4 linked regions of the Drosophila melanogaster genome follow. The protein of the gene in region 2 purifies or fractionates together with the protein of the main gene of each other region. This does not show direct contact. Each region holds a gene or a part of one and is shown on either strand. Other genes may lie near its edges. The genes, in order: levy, cype, COX5A and COX4.

Evidence for each region.
Region 1: the proteins of cype (region 2) and levy fractionate together in Drosophila melanogaster (co-fractionation; one study listed by BioGRID). This does not show direct contact.
Region 3: the proteins of cype (region 2) and COX5A fractionate together in Drosophila melanogaster (co-fractionation; one study listed by BioGRID). This does not show direct contact.
Region 4: the proteins of cype (region 2) and COX4 fractionate together in Drosophila melanogaster (co-fractionation; one study listed by BioGRID). This does not show direct contact.

The regions. Positions count from the first base shown.
Region 1 is NT_033778.4:23,545,739-23,550,020, reverse strand, and holds levy (levy), read right to left. Parts: upstream 1,783-4,282; 5' UTR 1,732-1,782; coding exon 1,635-1,731; intron 1,484-1,634; coding exon 1,251-1,483; 3' UTR 1,039-1,250; downstream 1-1,038. Other genes in the region: pita, read left to right, coding at 1-73, 130-930; wmd (wing morphogenesis defect), read left to right, coding at 2,411-2,531, 4,030-4,282.
Region 2 is NT_033779.5:5,324,881-5,329,097, forward strand, and holds cype (cyclope), read left to right. Parts: upstream 1-2,346; 5' UTR 2,347-2,406; intron 2,407-2,408; exon of another isoform or gene 2,409-2,470; intron 2,471-2,622; 5' UTR 2,623-2,626; coding exon 2,627-2,796; intron 2,797-2,863; coding exon 2,864-2,927; 3' UTR 2,928-3,089; downstream 3,090-4,217. Other genes in the region: Ncoa6 (nuclear receptor coactivator 6), read right to left, coding at 1-29, 1,072-1,086; CG14022 (uncharacterized protein), read right to left, coding at 3,195-3,309, 3,373-3,499, 3,690-3,753.
Region 3 is NT_033777.3:11,817,021-11,821,801, forward strand, and holds COX5A (cytochrome c oxidase subunit 5A), read left to right. Parts: upstream 1-2,338; 5' UTR 2,339-2,382; exon of another isoform or gene 2,383-2,400; intron 2,401-2,527; 5' UTR 2,528-2,624; exon of another isoform or gene 2,625-2,690; 5' UTR 2,691-2,691; coding exon 2,692-3,141; 3' UTR 3,142-3,279; downstream 3,280-4,781. Other genes in the region: glo (glorund), read right to left, coding at 174-318, 986-1,117, 1,553-1,922; Kyat (kynurenine aminotransferase), read right to left, coding at 3,388-4,200, 4,260-4,781. UniProt on the Drosophila melanogaster protein: Component of the cytochrome c oxidase, the last enzyme in the mitochondrial electron transport chain which drives oxidative phosphorylation.
Region 4 is NT_033779.5:19,956,616-19,961,465, forward strand, and holds COX4 (cytochrome c oxidase subunit 4), read left to right. Parts: upstream 1-2,097; 5' UTR 2,098-2,153; intron 2,154-2,216; exon of another isoform or gene 2,217-2,651; 5' UTR 2,652-2,664; coding exon 2,665-3,076; intron 3,077-3,135; coding exon 3,136-3,272; 3' UTR 3,273-3,450; downstream 3,451-4,850. Other genes in the region: sick (sickie), read left to right, coding at 1-111, 177-656, 718-837; CG34051 (uncharacterized protein), read right to left, coding at 3,549-3,735, 3,790-3,978, 4,044-4,166, 4,239-4,411; CG42866 (uncharacterized protein), read right to left, coding at 4,824-4,850.

The sequences.
Region 1 (4,282 bases), on a different chromosome or scaffold from region 2:
GAAGAAGCGTCCGTTCCAATGCGGTGTCTGCACCAAGTCGTTTGCCTTCAAGCAGGGATTGGAGCGTCATGAGGTGGGTTGACAAGCATATTTGGGATTGCCCCGGCTAACGATTATGTCCACTTTCAGACAGTCCACTCCACCAATCTTCCCTTCCCCTGTCAGCATTGCGAGAGAAGCTTTTCCACCGCTTCCAAGCTGGCCCGCCACCTGGTTGCCCACGCCGGGAAGAGAGCCTATCCCTGCAAGTACTGCCACAAGTCCTACATGCTGTCGCATCATCTCTCGCGCCACCTGCGCACGCACACGCAGACTTCCGACGCCTCGTTCGTGTGCAGTGAGTGCAAGGTGTCGTACAGCAACTATAACGACCTACTGGATCATGCGCTCATTCATGCCACCGCCAGCCTGAAATGTCCCATGTGTCGCAAGCAGATCGAAGATATCGACAGTGTCGAGAGCCACATGGACCAGCACAAGCAGAGCGAGCGCCATGCCTGCGAGTTCTGTGACCACATCTTCTTGACGCAGAAATGCCTGCAGCGCCACATCGAGGACGATCATGTGGTGGAAATGGAGCCGTACCAGAACGAGTTCGAAGACGACGGCGAAGGAGAAGGCGGCGTCGATGAGAAGGAGGAACATCTTGACGATTTTGAAGACATGGACAATGTGAAGCAGGAAGAATTCGTGACGGAATACTTAGAAGACGATGCTCTCTATGAGGACCACCTAGACGATAGCGACGAATCCTTCACGCCGCCGCCTCCAAAGCAGCGTAAAACCAATCCTCCCAAGGATGCCCAGCAATCCGTGCGCCAAACTCGCAGTCGGGATGCTCAAAGAATCACTCAGAAGACAGGAAAGAACGAAGGCAAGCCTCATCACAAACTGGAACGCAACCTTAAGAATCGCCGATCCGCAAAATAATGATAGTAGTTGAATATATTGCATGCGAAAAGTGCATCCGTGCTTATGCTTAAATTTAAATTCTATTTAATTGTAACTTTTAATTTTTCCTTTAACCGAAGGCCTTTTAAATAAACTCCTCACCAGAATTCCGCTGTCGCTCATTGAAATGGTCTTTATGGGATCTCTCCTCGCTCTAATTTGATCTTTATTGAAGCGCCAACTGGAGTTTGGGTATATGTGTTTTCTGTGTATTTCCGCGTAAAGTTCAGTTTACATTAACGTCTATCACTACCAAACAACGAATACATCCCGCAGAGGGAACCGGAGACGGTGGCCACCTAGTGCTCGTAGCCGTCGGGCAGGGCGTTAACGTGGGGGTTGTGGAACAGGCTCTTCTGGCCCTCACCCCAGGGGAAGCGCTTCTCGCGGCGGCGCAGGTAGTCGTACTTGACGAACTCCTGGCGGGGCTTGTCGTGCTCCTCCTGGTGCTTCAGGTAGGCGTTCAGCATGCACAGTCCCACGGCGGGCACGGCCACGAAGAAGGACAGGCGCTTCCACACCTTGTAGCCACCTGAAGGATGAGAGATGAGATGAGCATGAAAGGATGTGTTATAAGAGCGAATCCTTCTCCACCAATCGATCTTGCCCAATGGTAAATTACATAACCTTAACCTTACAAAAGGGGATGAATTTGGCAATTGGGACGCTGGACGGTCACTTACCAGAGTGCTCGCCGGCCACGGCGGCGGTGCCGGACATATTCCGGGCGGCAGAAGCGCCGAATTGGCGGCGAATTGCGTGGTTTAGAATAGCGGACATATTTTCAGTCGATTCTTGGCCCGAATGAAAATTTGCTGTTTTGACAAGTAAATAGGGATGGGCTACATCCATAATGTCGTGACTCGTTCGCTAAATTATATCGATAGTGGTTGGCCGTGATTTCTAAATTACGTACAACAAAGCTGTTAATTGGCTTAATATAAATAAAAAACAAAATAAAACAATTCTATGCCAAATTGTAAATAAGTAATTTGACATTTTTCCTTTGTATCCTCCCCTGGCTGCCGTGACACAGCTCTAGCTAATCGAGAAGTTATCGCCTCACGCGCCCACCGCTGACGATAGGTAGGTACTGTGTGTGCGGACTATCGAGGCTGGAGTCGGCTACCAATCGTCCATCCACAACAACAACGTGTCGCGTAATTATTTTCCCCTCTTGTTTATAAAATTCAGTGCATCAGATTGTAAATACACTGCACACCCTGCAAAGCCACCGCAGCATCTCGAACCTAAGCAACGAACGGGAAAATCATTATCGTACGGGCAGTGAAGCGCAGTTAACCAGGAGCAACAACCAATCCAAGTACAAAGTAGCCACAAAACGTCAGTTATTCACTAAGTGCACAGTTCGCCAGCGGACATAACGGTCGCTACACTCGGAGAAAACCACAAGTATTAAGGACCACACAGTCCACCAATCCACTAGCAGCCCACTGCCATGGCCGCCAACAACTTGCGACAAATCCCGCTGACCTGCAGTGGCCACACGCGACCCGTGGTCCACCTGGACTTCAGCGACATCTGCGACGCCGGCTACTTTCTCATCTCGGCCTGCAAAGGTAAGGTCCGCGGGATCGGGCAGCCAGTCGCATGCGATTAGCCGTCCTTGCGCGCTATTTATACACCACTTTCCGTCGTCGCACAGTGGTTGTCATAATCATACGATGGGGTTAAAATCGGAAGTGTCAGTCACTGACGAACTGGGACACAACGCAGATTCCGTAAGAATTGGATTTAACTAGTGTTTCTATATAGACAGTGTTCATTTGCAATAGTTTAATGTCTATACAGCAAGTTTCCTGGTAAAAACAGGCAGTTACTTTTGCTTATTGGTCAAATTTGTAGTATAGTTTTGTAGGAAGGGCAAATAATGTTTTACCCAGAAGGCCATGTCGAAAAACAAGTTATGTTGTCCGTGTTCTTTGACGGATCGTTATGTTCGTGGGAAAGGTGCTGCAACAGAGCGGCATGGAATCACATGAACTACAGGCGGGCCAGCACGGTGTAGCATCATGTCTAGCCTGTGGGAAACCTTGACCCAAATGCAAAGTCACTCATCGCGAGCGAAACCTGTTTTCTGCGAGTGCGAAACCCTTTTGCCTGCCGCCACTCGCATGCTACAAAACTCGCATTCTTTGCCTTGAGGTGTCAGCCAGTCGATGCGATTGCAATTGCCATGGCAGTTGCAATTCGCAATTCGTTAGCTATTGCCTGTTTTTTACAGGCACTTTGCATTCGTGGCTTTCGCAAATGTTGCTTTTATGCGGAAAGAGCGCTCGTTCCCACTGCAAGTTCAAGTTGACTTCGTTATCGCCTTTTAACGTACTCGCTTCCCCTTGTTTAGCAACTTTTCGAAACTGCTCGTTCAGGAAGCACCTTGGAACTTCTATATTTATATGCTGTGTGTATATGCAGCTGCCGTTTGTCTGCCGCCTGGAAGATTCTGCTTGCTGGATACACTCTCCCGATCCCGATCCGCTGCAATTTATTCGGATACAGCATCTAATGTGGGCTTAATTCGTGCGGTTCTCACTGCGATGAATCATTCCAAGTTTAAGGCCACAGTAATTGTATAAATTAGAATGGGAAATTACATAGTATATATTACATTATTAAGTGCTCTTGTTAGAAAACCTTTCTCTGCAAAGTTAAACTAATAGAGTTCCTATACAAAAGTGAAGTAGCAGGCAAACATTAGTAGAAGTCCTTGAAATGGCGAGAGTTGTGGGTGATCATTTATCACACACATAGAATGCATTGATGATGTAGCTCTGAACGAACTAACAAGCCGCGTCCCTGCACTGCACTGCACTGCAATGCAGCACCCTGCATCCCGATCCCGTTGAGCGCGACAGTGCAGTGCGGTGCGGTGCGGTGATAGTGACGTGAACTTGGGAGCTCGCTTGCATGATTGCGAGCGGCAGGCGGCCAGGTCGTTGGCCTTGGCGGCAGGCATTGAGTCAAGGTGGCTTCCGTGCGCTAATTTATGCACGCACGCTCGGCGGCGGGCGAAAGCGAATGCAACTGACCGAGAATCGTGTATTGTGAATCTTGCAGATGGCAGCCCGATGCTGCGGCACGGCGACACCGGCGACTGGGTGGGCACCTTCGAGGGACACAAGGGCGCCGTGTGGAACGCCACGCTGAACCGAAATGCCACCCTGGCCGCCTCCGGAGCGGCCGACTTCACCGGCAAGGTGTGGAATGCGGTGACCGGGGCCGAGATACACAGCTTCCAGCACAAGCACATCGTGAAGAGCGTGGCCTTCGACAGGGATTCCGAGAACATAGTGACTGGCAGCAACGAGAA
Region 2 (4,217 bases):
AATATCCGCACCAGTGACGGTTCAAGCTGCTGCAAAGTGGCACACATGTGAGACATTTTGCAAATTTACAACATTTAATTAACATTTAAGGAGCCGTATAGGAAGAGAAAGAAGAAGAGGGATAGTGAAATTGCTGGCGATGGCCACTATTTTGTTATCGATATCTATGCAGCGAGAGTTTGCAGCCCTGGTTTACGACACGCAAACATAGAAACGCCTAATTTATGGCCAAACACAATTCCAAACCTTAATTATTTAACTTATAATTTACCTTCACTAGATCTGCCATACTTGAATCTAATTATTTTTATATATTGCATATGTTATTTGCATTTCTCGTTTTGTTTTTGACCCTGCGGTCTCTGGCGCTAGAGCAGGATGGCCATAGGGCACTCGTTGGAAATTCCAACAACAATTTGTTTCGACAACAGTCCCCAAAGATAATGCGCTTGAATTGAGTAACCCAAAAGACAATTCAGCTGACTGCATTTTCCACGCGCGGCATGCCAAAAGGGGGCGGAGCGGGTCGGGGCAGCTGGTGCCCACAGGTTGCATTTTCTCATGCGTGCGTGCGTTTTCCTTTTCTCTCTGCGGGACGTGTTATCGATACCCCGACGTCGTCGCCATTTTTCTTCTTGGCCTCTTGGAAGGCGGTGCGCCGGTGTGCGTGCTTGCTCGTGTACGTGTGCTGGTTGGGCAAGTGTGTGTGTGTGGCAGAGGGAAAAGGTAACCAAAATACTTGCTTGGCACTAAGGCGGGGGGTAAAAAGGGGGCGGGCTGATTAATAAAATAAAAAAGGGGGAACCGAAAAAGAGAGATGAAAAAATAAACACGGGAAATGCGAGATTCTATACACTCGAAGCCAACCAATTAGTTCACCCTTTTCGCCGCCTATTGTTTTTGTTTTTATACCCGTCTCTGAGTGCGTGGGTGACGCAAGTGTAAAATGAGCAAAAGCGATGGCAAAAACAGACAAGAAAAGGGGGGAAAAAGAAGCCCACTTGAAGTGCAATAATCGCAAATCAGCTGTTCCGTTGCGCTCCACCAAAAAGCGAAACACGATAAACTCACCTGTTTAAGTGGCATATCATCACACGACAATCGCACGCGTCGTAGGTTTAATTGTTAGAACGCTGCTCAATTCTCGCATTTAGCTTTCGATTGACCGCCGTGGCGTCCTTTGGATTGAAATTGTTGGACCAATTGCATTATAGGCTTGACACTCGATGGCTTCGGTTTATTGTCTTTCGATGTAATCCGCACTCAGTTTTTAACCTCTGCGACTTGGGTTTTTGGGCATTTTCCACTATTATTTTTTTCTCTTCTCCCCTTTTGCTTTTTACTTTTTTTTTTAGTAGTAGCCTCACCAACACACACACTCACATGCACTGCAACACACACACTCACACACACACACGTGCGGGGCGCGGATACGGATTTTCCTGCGTCACTTTTCAAGCGCTTTTCCTGCTGGAAATCTTGCGTGCCCGCTTTTCAATTGTTGTTTAGGGCAAACTGAATACGTTTGGGCCCCCACTGTTCTCCATTTCACAATCGCTGGCCAAATAGTAATGCCTGTTTAGCGGAACTCGAAAATTTTCACGCATTCGGGCAGCCGATTTTCGGGGGCTTAATTTCACACGGTTCGATTGCGTGCGGGCACTTGATAAACGCACTGATTGCTGTCGAAAGATTCGCGCTTGTTTTTCAACCATCAATTGGCGTTGCAACGATGCGTTTATCCTGTTTATTTTGTACAAAAAACTTCGTAATTATTAAATTTCCACGAACAATAACAAGCACACAGTGGTAGCCATTTTTATTTTCCAGCCGGTGTTGCCAGACGTCCGCGGCCCGAAATTCCCTAAATTTCCCGACATATTTGTGGTTACCAGGGCTGCGAAGTAGCCTGTATTGGAAATTTGGCTCGAGCAGAGTTGTCAATTGTTTGGAAATTGTAATTTTATTTAATTAGTGCTAATAAATTTATAAATAAATTGTATTGCTATATTGTCTTTTATTTTTAAACATGTTTAGCAATCATAAATATAATGGTAACATAATTTGAACATGTTCAATATATAAATTTCATTCACAAATATTTTTCCTGCTTTAAACTATTGATTTTAGCTGGCCTCATAGCTTCCAGATGAAAAATTTGAAAAGTTATTACTTAACACACTTTTCTCTTAATTCTGCGTATTTAGCCTCAAAATCATTTTATTATTAAATGAAATGATTCTGTCAAATTGTCTAGGAGTGCTTTTTAATATATATTTTTATTATTTATTTTCCAAAGATCAATCGATAATTTCGCGAATGCTGCCACCTTCTTCGAATAAACGATAGTATTGAATAGAATTTGTTTTAGGTTCCATCTCTATCTCAGATTCTGAATTTGCAAATGTGAGTACATAACAAGGTTTTTCTTTAAAAAACACGGTTCAAGGGGTTTTGGAACTTAAAAAAAGTAATTAAATATCATACCAGTTGGCCATATCAACTCCATAAATTTCTGGGGAGAATTCATTAGTTGCTATGCGTTTAATGGCAGCTGCCTTTGAGCACCTTACGTAACTACCGAGCAATATAATTGATTTTTGTGATTTTCATTCTTTTCAGCGACATGGCCAACACTCCAGCCACCTCCTCTGCCGGACCCGTGCTCCGTGGCCTCCACAATGCCACCATCAAGCGCAACCTGGCCGTTTCCCTGGGCCTGACCGCCGTGGTGACCATCGCCTACAAAATTCTGGTCAACGATCCCAAGAAGGCCGCCTACGCCGACTTCTACTCGTAAATATAGCTTAACTATGCCACATGAATGTCATCATCTGATCTGTTTTATCCATTATCCCTGCAGGAAGTACGATGCCAACAAGTCCTTCGAGCGCATGAAGGCCGCCGGTCGTTTCCAGTCCTGCTAGGCTATGTTATCCCAAAACACAAGTAGTCTAAGTCAAATGATGTTGTAGAACAAGAGTTGCGCTTCTGTATTGAAAACTAAATAGATTTCAGTCTACGTACGTGCACGAAGGCGTTTTAATTTAGAGCTATCTTGTATTGCCAGCAAAAGTAAATGTGAAGGCAAATTATGATTAAATTCTTTATTATTTACTCGTATTTACAAACTTAGCCAAGTAATGCACAAAACAAACACACAAAACTATAAGGCCACACAAACCGGACCACATCTAAAACCTAATGGCAAAGTCCTTGTAGTCCAGTCGGCTGAGATTGCCCTGGTTCCGGACCTCACAGCGATCGATTTGGCAGCCGGGTGAGCCCTCAGTGGACAGCCAGGTGATCCTAAGAGTAGATTTAATCAGAAAATATTAGCATGGAGAGTGTAAACTATTCCGGTTTACTCACATCTTGTCCACCTCCTCCTTGGGCCCCTGCATCTTGCCCACAATGGTGCCCTGTTTGCTGTTCTTCACCCAGCCAGTGATTCCCGCCTTGGTGCAGCGATCGCGGGTGTCTTTCGTGAGATTCAGGCCTGCCGGTCGAAAAAAGCAATGGTATATGTTTTATATAGTCTCTAGTGCATGTGGAATGGGGCGTGAAACAAAGCCAAGGACAGTTTGGGGCCCCAAAGTAACTAGCTACTGAGGGTTTATTTTTAGGCAACCATTCGAGAGAGCTATGCTATGCTTGATTCCCGATTCCTATTTCCCATGAAACCACACCTTGTACATGTCCATAGACCTCGAAATCCAGCGTCACCAGCAGTCGGATATCCGGAATGCCCATTTCGATCGATTTCGATTTGGTTATGTAAATTTGGCAGCAAACTGGTCGTTATTTTAGAATTTCCTGATTTTATCACTTTACTCGCACTTGAAAAAGCCCTGCAACCTGGTTTATATTCTATGCAGACTTGAATCCCCAATTAAGCATATATATTTTTTGAAAATTATTTTACTCGAAGCGATTTTTTCCGCCGCGATCGCTAGCTTGATTTTCAACAAACCGTCGCAAATTTAAAACTAAAATGCCAAGTAGCATATCAATTGGTTTCTATTTTGCGTTTTCGATTTTGTATTTGCGTATTTATTTTAGCCGCACACTGCAATCTGCCTCTTGCTATATGTTCTTGTTGTTATTCTAGAAAAGAAAATACAAATACGATGTGGGAATCTTTCGGGACGGTCACAGATAGTTGATTCTGGTGGTCAGTATCTGATTTTTGGATACGCTACAGGGGTTTTTCGAGA
Region 3 (4,781 bases), on a different chromosome or scaffold from region 2:
GCTAAATGATTTCTCAGTTACTGAAATAGAAATTATTTGTGATAAAAGTTATTAAATATTTTGTGAATAATTGTATAGTCCTTGTGTGTTTCAACAAGTTCGCAATCGATTACCACTTAATGTTTTAATTTCGCTGTTTTTGTTGTAGAAGATATGATGAATTAGAAACCCACCTGTGCCCAATTTTTTCCCGATTTCGGCCCAAGGCTTGCTCAGTGTCGTCCTGGCTTTCGAACTGAACAAAAGCTTCCCCAGTTGCACGACCCCTTCTGTCCATAACAAAAAGTATGCCCTCCCGATCCGTTTTGATATCCAACCCTGCCCATGACGATAACCAACAAAGATTTATACAAATATATAGATTTCATATATATATATACATTATGCAAGGTTAAGCTTAGATAGAAAAACAGAAATACAGAGGTTGATAAATGTTATTGTTTAGTTCCAACACCGCAGAACTTTTGCAGGTTCTCACGGTATTAGCAACGTTTGCATAAATAAACAGTGCCTTTTAGTCAAACTATGATCACCAGGCAAGATGCGACTGTTGCAATCGAGTTTCCCGGACCACAATGTATTACAAAACTCAGATCCTGTAACTCGTAGACATGTGTAGCTCAGTTGAAGGTTGTGAGTAATGATCGACCATATAACCAAGTAAACTGGGTTATGTGACCAACGAAGGAATGATTTATCGGACAAGCGGACGTGACCGCGTCAACTCTCAGCCGTTGACTTTGGAAGGAGCCGCGTGAACCGCCGAACCCATTACACAAATGCAAGGGCCTGCATTTCTTTGCCCGACAATATGTATGTACGTTGAAACGCATGTGTAATTGATATATGAAAGGTGTAGATGAAAGGGGACCGTAGGCCATATCTCAACGATGTGAACAAATAATACATGCGGTCAACCACTGTCTTTTTTCCTGGTACCTGGTACATATTAGTATGGAAAGAGGATTTGGGTCAGGAAACTTACCAGAGAAGAACTCCTCGATTTGCTGCTCAGTGACGGCATATGGCAGACCACGAAGCTTCACAACGAAGGCCGTGCCGTGTCCGCTGATCTTCCGCATGGCTTCCTTGGCCTCCTTGGGCGTGGCGGTAAAAACTAAAGAAATAAAAACCAATTACATCAGTTAAAACGGAAAAAAAACAAACAAGTTTTCTGCACCATTTTGTGTTTGTTATTAAGATAAGAATTAACATGAATACAGATTATAAATGGTGGTGTGAAATTTACTTTACTAAATTTTAGTTTACCTCGATAGAAGCAAGGATAAGAGTAACAATACAGTGACATATTTGTAAAACCTCCTTAATATTAGGTAAAATTCCACAATGAATGAAAAGAAAATAAGCGCTACCAGTATAAGTAGCAAAACAATGAAGAAATAAATCATCTTCGATTCCATGTATGGAATCAGAACAAGTTCAAGCTTGTTAAAAGGATAAACATATAAACAAAGTGAGAAGAAACTAACTATAACTGCCAAGATAGTCATCAGGTACAGTCATCCCCCACTCAAGTGGCAAATAAACAAACCTTCAATGTAGCGGTGACCCATGCTGGCCTTGTTCAGCTTGCGAGCCTCTTCGACGTCCTCCTGGCTGGCCACCTCCACGTACGCCTCGCCGGTGTTCTTGCCGTCGACCCGACTGGTGACCAGGTGAATGCCCGCCGAGCCATTAGTCACATTCACGTTTTCCAGAAAGTCGAGTATCTCCTTGTGCGTTGCGGACCAGGGCAGGCCGCGCAACCGAACGAATTTGGGGCTCTCGCCGACGTTTTCGATCTTGCCGCCGCCATCTTCGTTGTACTGGTCATCCTCATCCTGCTGCTGGTTGCTGTCGTCGTTGAAGTTGTCGCCATTTCCCTGCTGGCCGTAGTTAAATTGCACGTCTGCGTTGGACATTTTTCACCAGATCTCTACCTGCAAATGGTGTTACAACGATTAGTCACTGGTTAACTAGTTTTAATTGTTTTTTACTGGCTGAAAATGCGATTTTTTGAGCTAGTGATTCTCCACTCAGCAGCGACGCTTGTTTGGTGCGATTCTTTTTTGCACCGCGTACGCCATTTTGATTTCTTGTCACCCCTAATTGCTTATGACATTTTGCAAGTCTCGTACACAATATAAACGCTTCTAAATGTCACACCTGGTGGCGGAACAGAGAACTAACCGTATTCTGCTCTGTTTCAACTTCCAATATCGCCTTTTTTTAAACTTTATCGGTTAATTTGACTTATTTTTCAGAGAGATTAATCAAATAGCACGCGTCAAGTTGAAGATGCAGTGTGACCGCAATTAAATCATCAAAAAATACCGCCTGGCAGTAGCCAGCATCAATGTGGACCGTTGAAAAAGAAACAAGGTTTGATTTTGATTTTTTTTTTGCTTTTTTTGGGCAAGATAGAAGAAATTAAATATAAGGAAAATGATAAACTAACTGTGATCTTACCCGAATTTGAAATATACTGAAGCAGAAACATTTTAAATATCTCACTGTTCCGTGACAGCGACAGTTATAAACGTGTCCATCCCTGGAAAAGCCAGTGTTGCCAACCATCACTCAGATCTGTCATACCCGTGTGAAAAGTAGCAAGAACAAGAAAAGTGAGTCGAGCTGTTACTTAACCAAATTTTTGCAATTAACAAGCATTTTACTGTTTTTAACGGCAGCATGTTGAGCATCACGGCCCGTAACCTGGCAAGCGCCCTCCGCAGCAGCCTCGTCGGCACATCGTCGCGCGTGGCCGCCGTGCGCTGTCTGCACGGAACCGAGGAATCGGCGGAGGAGTTCGACAAGCGCTACGAGAAGTACTTCAGCCGTGAGGGCATCGATGGCTGGGAGATCCGCAAGGGCATGAACGATCTGCTGGGCATGGATCTGGTGCCCAGCCCCAAGATCATCGAGGCCGGTCTGCGTGCCAGCCGTCGCGTCAACGACATTGCACTGGCCATCAGGTGGCTGGAGGGATGCAAGGACAAGTGCGGCGACCAAAAGGCCACCCTCTATCCCTACTTGCTGGAGAAGATCACCCCCACACTGCAGGAGCTGGGCATCCCAACCATCGAGGAACTGGGCTACGACAAGCCCGAATTGGCCCTGAAGTCCGTGTACGATGCCTAAGCGGAGAACACTAGTTTAAAAACACAGAACACAATATACACGTTACAGCGACACTAGCTACCTACTATCCAATGTATGGTGCGGATGAACATGTTGTTGGATTGCTAATAAATGGAGATTGCAGTAAGGCTACCACACCAGCACAAGGTTGTTTTCCCTGTTGGTTACGTAACACCCAGGTTAGGGAACTGCATTCGGGCAGAGATAAACAAAGCGGCTGATAGCAATTCGTTTATTGTCCGGCGACTATTTCCATTTGGACAGCAGTTCGGCCGCCTTATCCAGGTTCTCTTGCTTCTTGATGAAGCAGTAGCGCACAAAGTCCTCCCCCAGATGTTTGTTGGGTTCGCTGTAGAAGGCACTTGGCGGTATGCCCTGCAAGCCCATGTTCTTGGTCATCCACTTGGTAAACTTGTAATCCCGATGCTTGTCTGGCTCAGAGCTTAGATCAATCTTGCCCGCCAGTGGTGACCAGTCTGCCAGCATAAAGTAGCCACCCTCAGGAATGGTGGGACGCATACCGGATTCGGACAGGAACTTGGCCATGAAGTCACGCTTCTGCTTCAGCTCGCGCGGCAGGCTAAGGAAGTAGCTCTCCGGCTGACCCAAACGGGCCAGTTCTACCTCGAAACTGCGTGCGACGCCCTCCTGGAGCGGCGTTGGACAGGTGTACACAGAGTTCTGATGCACCATCTGCAGGTTTCGAATCAGTTCAGCGGGTCCGTAGGCCCAGCCTATTTTCCAACCAGTTACTGAGAAGGTCTTGCCCGCTGATCCCAGAGTAATGGTGCGATCCCACATGCCCGGCAGCGTGCAGATACGGATGTGCTCGGCTCCGTCGAACACCAACCACTCATACACCTCGTCCGAGACGCACAGCACATTCCACTTGCGGCAGAGCTCGGCTATCCTCTCTAGCTCTTTCCGGTTGAAGACCTTTCCAATAGGGTTGTGGGGCGTGTTTAGGATAATCATCTTTGTTTTAGAGTTGAACAGACTCTCGAACTCAGCGTCATCTAGCACCCAATCGGCAGAGCTTATTGGTCCCTCTGTCTTGCGCTAGAAGTTAGACATGTTAAAAAGAGGGATATATTTTTTTTTTCTATTGTGGTTCTTACCAATTTTAGGGGAACAAAGCGGGGCACTCCACCGGCCATCTTGACCATAGGCTCGTAGCAATCAAAGAATGGTTCAATAATGATCACCTCGTCGCCCACGTCCACATGGCCCATGATGGTGGAGTAGAGAGCCTCATAGGCGCCTGAGGTAATCAGTATGTCGCTGAGGGGATTTAGCTCCTTGCCGACGAGACCGCTATAGAGCTTGGATAGCGCATTGACCAGGCGAACGTGACCGTAACCGCGAGTGTACTGATGCAGAAGAGGATTCTGCTCCTTGGCAATGTCGGCCAACGAGTGGGTCACGTACTCGGGAGCGGCATCATCGGGAAATCCCTGTCCCAAGTTCAGGGGCTTATATTGCATGGCCAGGGCAATGTACTCGTTCCAGACGCTGGGCGTGCTACCCTGCAATCGCTTGGGCAGATCGAATTTCTCCATTTTAATGGCAGTCTGCTGGTGACGAAGGGCTTGCAACTGGAACTGCTCGCGAAGGCTCCTCTTAGCGGCGGAGAGGGTTAA
Region 4 (4,850 bases), about 15 Mb from region 2:
TCCTGTCTCCTGAGCGCTGGGCCCGCCAACAAGCTGCCCTGCATCATTGGCACCATGTCACAGGCCACTTGCAACACCACCAACCTGCAGCTGCACCACAATTTCCGATGGGTATGTTTTGATGATGGACCTTACAAATTGGATCATTACATATTTGCTTTATCACTTGCTCACAGGTGCTCACAGCTAATCACATGGAGCCCGTGAAAGGCTTTCTGGGTCGCTTCCTGAGGCGTCGACTCTTCCAGCTGGAACTGCAGACGCAACATCCGCAGCCGGAGCTGGCGGCAGTGCTGGCCTGGTTGCCCTCCGTTTGGCAGCACATCAACCGATTCCTGGAGGTGCACAGCTCCAGTGATGTAACCATTGGGCCGAGGCTATTCCTCGCCTGCCCAATGGACCTGAAGGACTCGCAGGTGTGGTTCACCGACATCTGGAACTACCACCTCTCGCCATACTTGGTGGAGGCGGTGCGCGAGGGAGTTCAGCTCTATGGACGACGAGGAGGTGCCTGGAACGACCCCTCCGCCTTCATTAGGAACTCCTATCCGTGGCCATACGGTCCGGACTCAGTGCCTCCACTACGGCAAATCAATGCCGAGGATGTGGGACTCGAAGGCGTGGCCCTAACCAACGGTGACCAACAGGATCCCTTGGTAAGATACAGGACTAATATTGCTCCTTTGATTTTCAACTAATGAGGCGTTTCGTCAACAGCTCAACATGCTGATGCGCCTGCAGGAGGCGGCCAACTACTCGGAGGCCCAGGATCAGGAGTCCGATTGTGCCAGCCTGGACTCGAATGTTACGCCCGAAAGTTCCGCTGGAGCCGAGTGAACAGCTATAGAAACCAACCACTTCGTACATGCCAAATTTAGATGAACTAACTGAGAGGAGTACGCCAGCTGAGGGTCCAAGATATGCACCCAAGATATCCTTGCCCCCGCACAAATGAGACTTCTTGCACTACTTTCGCAGCGAGGTTCAAAAGCAGTTCCAAGAGTTTTCCATTTGCACCACGTCACCAACCTTTCCAATCATCGTTTCTAGCCACTCCCTGCCATCTAGAGTAAATTGCACTTTTTAGCGCACTTGTTAAAAATGCAAATTGTCCTAGCCACAAACTGAACCTGATAACGAAGCACTACCATCCCAAAAAGCAAGGACCCCGGCTGCGTTTCCGAAAAACCCAAATCTTGAGAAAAGGAAACTTCACTAACATGAAATGTTACAGAGATAAGACGAGTGAATTCATTTTTGTACATATAGATGAAAACTAACCCCAAGTCCCCCCTATGCTTAAGTGTGAATCTGACCGACGGTCTAGACTTTTTATACCCTTTATCCCAGCCCAGAGTCGGCGGATCATATGAATTAAATCGCAACTAATACCTAACTCTACTGTAAATGTAGCTATAAGTTTTTGCTACTACCAATTTACAAGATGTATAGTTGAAGGAAAAAGCTTTCACTTTAGTTTAATTATTTGCGTAATTATCATTAAATATTGTTACAAACATATTGCATATTTATAAAGCCCAATAAAGCAAAATACCATTAACATATTTATTATGCCAAGCGGCGCTTAAACACAGGAATACGCGAAAGTGAATACGTAATGCCCCATCCTCGATAAAATAGCTAAATTTCCGAACTCCAGATCCCTATCGAAAGATAATCTTATGTAATACAAACTCAAGCAGCAAACTATATGATACGATAAAGCAAATTATGTGTCTCTGTCTAATTTAAATGTGTGCATTTATGAGATATGACATCAAATCAAAATAAAATATAATATCGAACAATAATTGTTTTGTTGTTGTTTCTCTTCTCGCGGACAGACTACAAAAAGAATGTGAAATACCAAACCAAATATTTCACCATGCTGCGAAATAAAATAAAACATAATAGTTGCCCTTATTTGCTGTTTCTTTATTTTAATATATTTAGATTTAAATACCCCGCCGAATTCCGATTGCTAGCGATTGAATATATCGATATATTAATATTTATATTTTTTCATTCGAGATGTGGTCACACTTCTCTGCATGAAAATACCAAAATATCGAGCAATAATTACCCATCCATATATATATTTTGTTTTGTATATTCCCTCTGGTCACATTGTTCAGCAAGTCTAAGAAAAGTAGGTAAAAGTGCTTTAAAAATTGTATTAATTGCGAAAAATATCAAGTACCTGCGACCACAAAGCTATTGAATACAACGAGCGGGATAAGCAAGCCGACATAAATTGGAAAACCAGTTGCCACCGGTTTATAAGCCGTTTTCCGGTAGATGCAACCGCCCACCGATTACACAACATCTGTGATGGCTGTGAAAAATGGGAGAATTATGCGGATATTATGCCAAACACAGCACGAAATCGGGATAAATATATGGCGACAGGCGTAGAGGAACCTCAAAACAATGCGATTTTTATGGAAATAGATTCTATAACTTGGCACGTAGTTCTGCTAGCTGTTACATAACCTCCAACTAAGTGGGCACCATATATCGGTGAATTCGTAACCCGTTAGAATTCACGGATGACCGCCTGGTCGGGTGGGAAATTTGGCTATCGCGGGTCCAAGACCCTATGTTCCTCTGCTGATACCTCATAAATTGATATTCATTTTACTACCTTGCAGACTCTGTGAGAAAATGGCCCTGCGACTACTCAACAGTGCTGTGCTCCGCCAGCTGGCCTCTCAGCTGCCCAAGAGTGCCCAGGTGGGCAGCGTGGCCGCCGTCCACACACTGGACAAGATCGGCAAGCGGGAGATCGTTGGCTACGGCTGGAACGGCACCGCCTGCTACGCGGATCGCGTGGACTACCCTCTGCCCGCCGTGCGCTTCCGTGAGCCCACCAACGAGATCAACGCTCTGCGCGCCAAGGAGCAGGGAGACTGGAAGAAGCTCAGCACCCAGGAGATCAAGGCCCTGTACCGCGCCAGCTTCTGCCAGACTATCGCCGAGGTCCAGGCTGGATCCGGGGAGTGGAAGCTCCACCTGGGCGTTTCACTCCTCTTCTGCGCCGCCGCCATCTGGGTGGCCGTACTGATGAACATCTTCGGTAAGCCATTTTTCCGGTTCCCTTTTGCGGCTATCCATTATTGAGCATTTTCCTTTCAGTGTACGATGAGCTGCCCGTTACCTTCGATGAGGAGCACCAGAAGGCGCAGCTGCAGCGCATCATCGACCTGGAAATCAACCCCGTCACCGGATTGACCTCCAAGTGGGACTACGAGAACAAGAAGTGGAAGAACTAAGTGCGCTGTCGTTAAATAATTCCGCGATTGTGTGTGATTAAGTTAGCCGACGTCTATGTGTATTAAGTAAAAGCAAGATAGTCGAAATTAAAGTTATGGCTGCTGCCTAAATCAATCGATCTTGGGTCAGTCATCAGTTTCTGCTAGGAAACCAGCCTCAATGATCCGTTTTAAGAGCAATGATTGTTATTCGATTTATTAACAGACCTTTTAGTGTGTAGATTACAAACTTTTCGTTACTAAAATCGCCACAGGCATAGCCAATTTAATTACCACTTAGTGAGACCTTTTAGCACTCTTATGTCTCATGTTCCGGCTGTTCGATTTTTGAACCTCATGAACAAGGATCTGCAAGGCTTCCAAGGCATTTGTGTTCTTGGCAAATTCCCTTTCAAACATGCGGCCGAATCTTAAGATCAATGGTTTCAGTTCCGGCGTTATCATTGCTTTCTCTTTTTCGGTCCTAAAAAGGCGGATTTCAAAGGCATTGCCAGACATATAGGCGAACACTACTTACACAGCTCCCTTTTTTATCACCTCTTTCAGGATCTGGACAACCGTTTGAATGTCCCCAAATAATCTGTACTTGTCTTTGGTAGAAATTTCACCGTCAAAGAATAACTTCAGTTCGTTGTCAGTTATATTCTTCTTTCGACCCCATTCCTCCAGCTCTGCCGTCTCTTTTTGGTAGGCGCTCCGAGCTCTGCTGAAAAGAAGTCAGGCATTCCTTGATCTCAGAGCATTCATACTTGATGCAGATGATGCACCTACCTCCAGTTCGAAATATCCCTAGCTGTCTGCTTCATCTTTTTTAAATGTCCTGATCTGTGTTTGAAAGTCTTCTCTTCTTTCTCCTTTGCAACTGTCGCCTTTGGTTCGGCATCTCGGTTAAAGCTATTGAAAGCGAAAGGTTGGTGCCATTCGAAAGTGTATATATCCTTCAGCTCGATCGAATCTGTATCTTACTGTTTGTGCCAATCGTATCCATCGTATGGAGGCCTGTGCAGATTGTGTGCTCGGAGATGACGCTGTCTTTCCATCTGGGTGTGGTTCTGGTTACCTCTGCTGTCCACCTGGAGGAAGAGCAACAGCAGGCAATGGAGGATGAGGATCGCAGCGGGATAGAGCCTTGGTCCCATGGCTGTAGTTTGTGGAGTGACAAATTACTTATACGTTAAATCACAATTAAGTGGGCTGAGATGTATTATGGAACCAATCGATTTCCCATTAGTCACTTATCTCAAAATAGAAAAAAAAACAACATATTTTTAAAAGGGGGTTACTCATTCTAAAGAAAGGGTCAATTTATATTTATAAAATCCATTTCTCCTCATTTGAAATGTATATCGCTTGGATAGCAACAATTAATGCGATTCAATTTATTATTTACACATTCGAACAGTGGAAATGTTCAATTAAGCAGTGATCCATTGATATGATGAACAAGGCTTCCGCTTCCCATTGTCTGGCGAGATCCGAGGCATTATGGCCCTGTGAACGACTTTGCAACGGGCCATAAGTAATCGCGTGCAATCCCAACCTTGTCGGACATCAGATGGAGTTACGTTGTTTATGGTG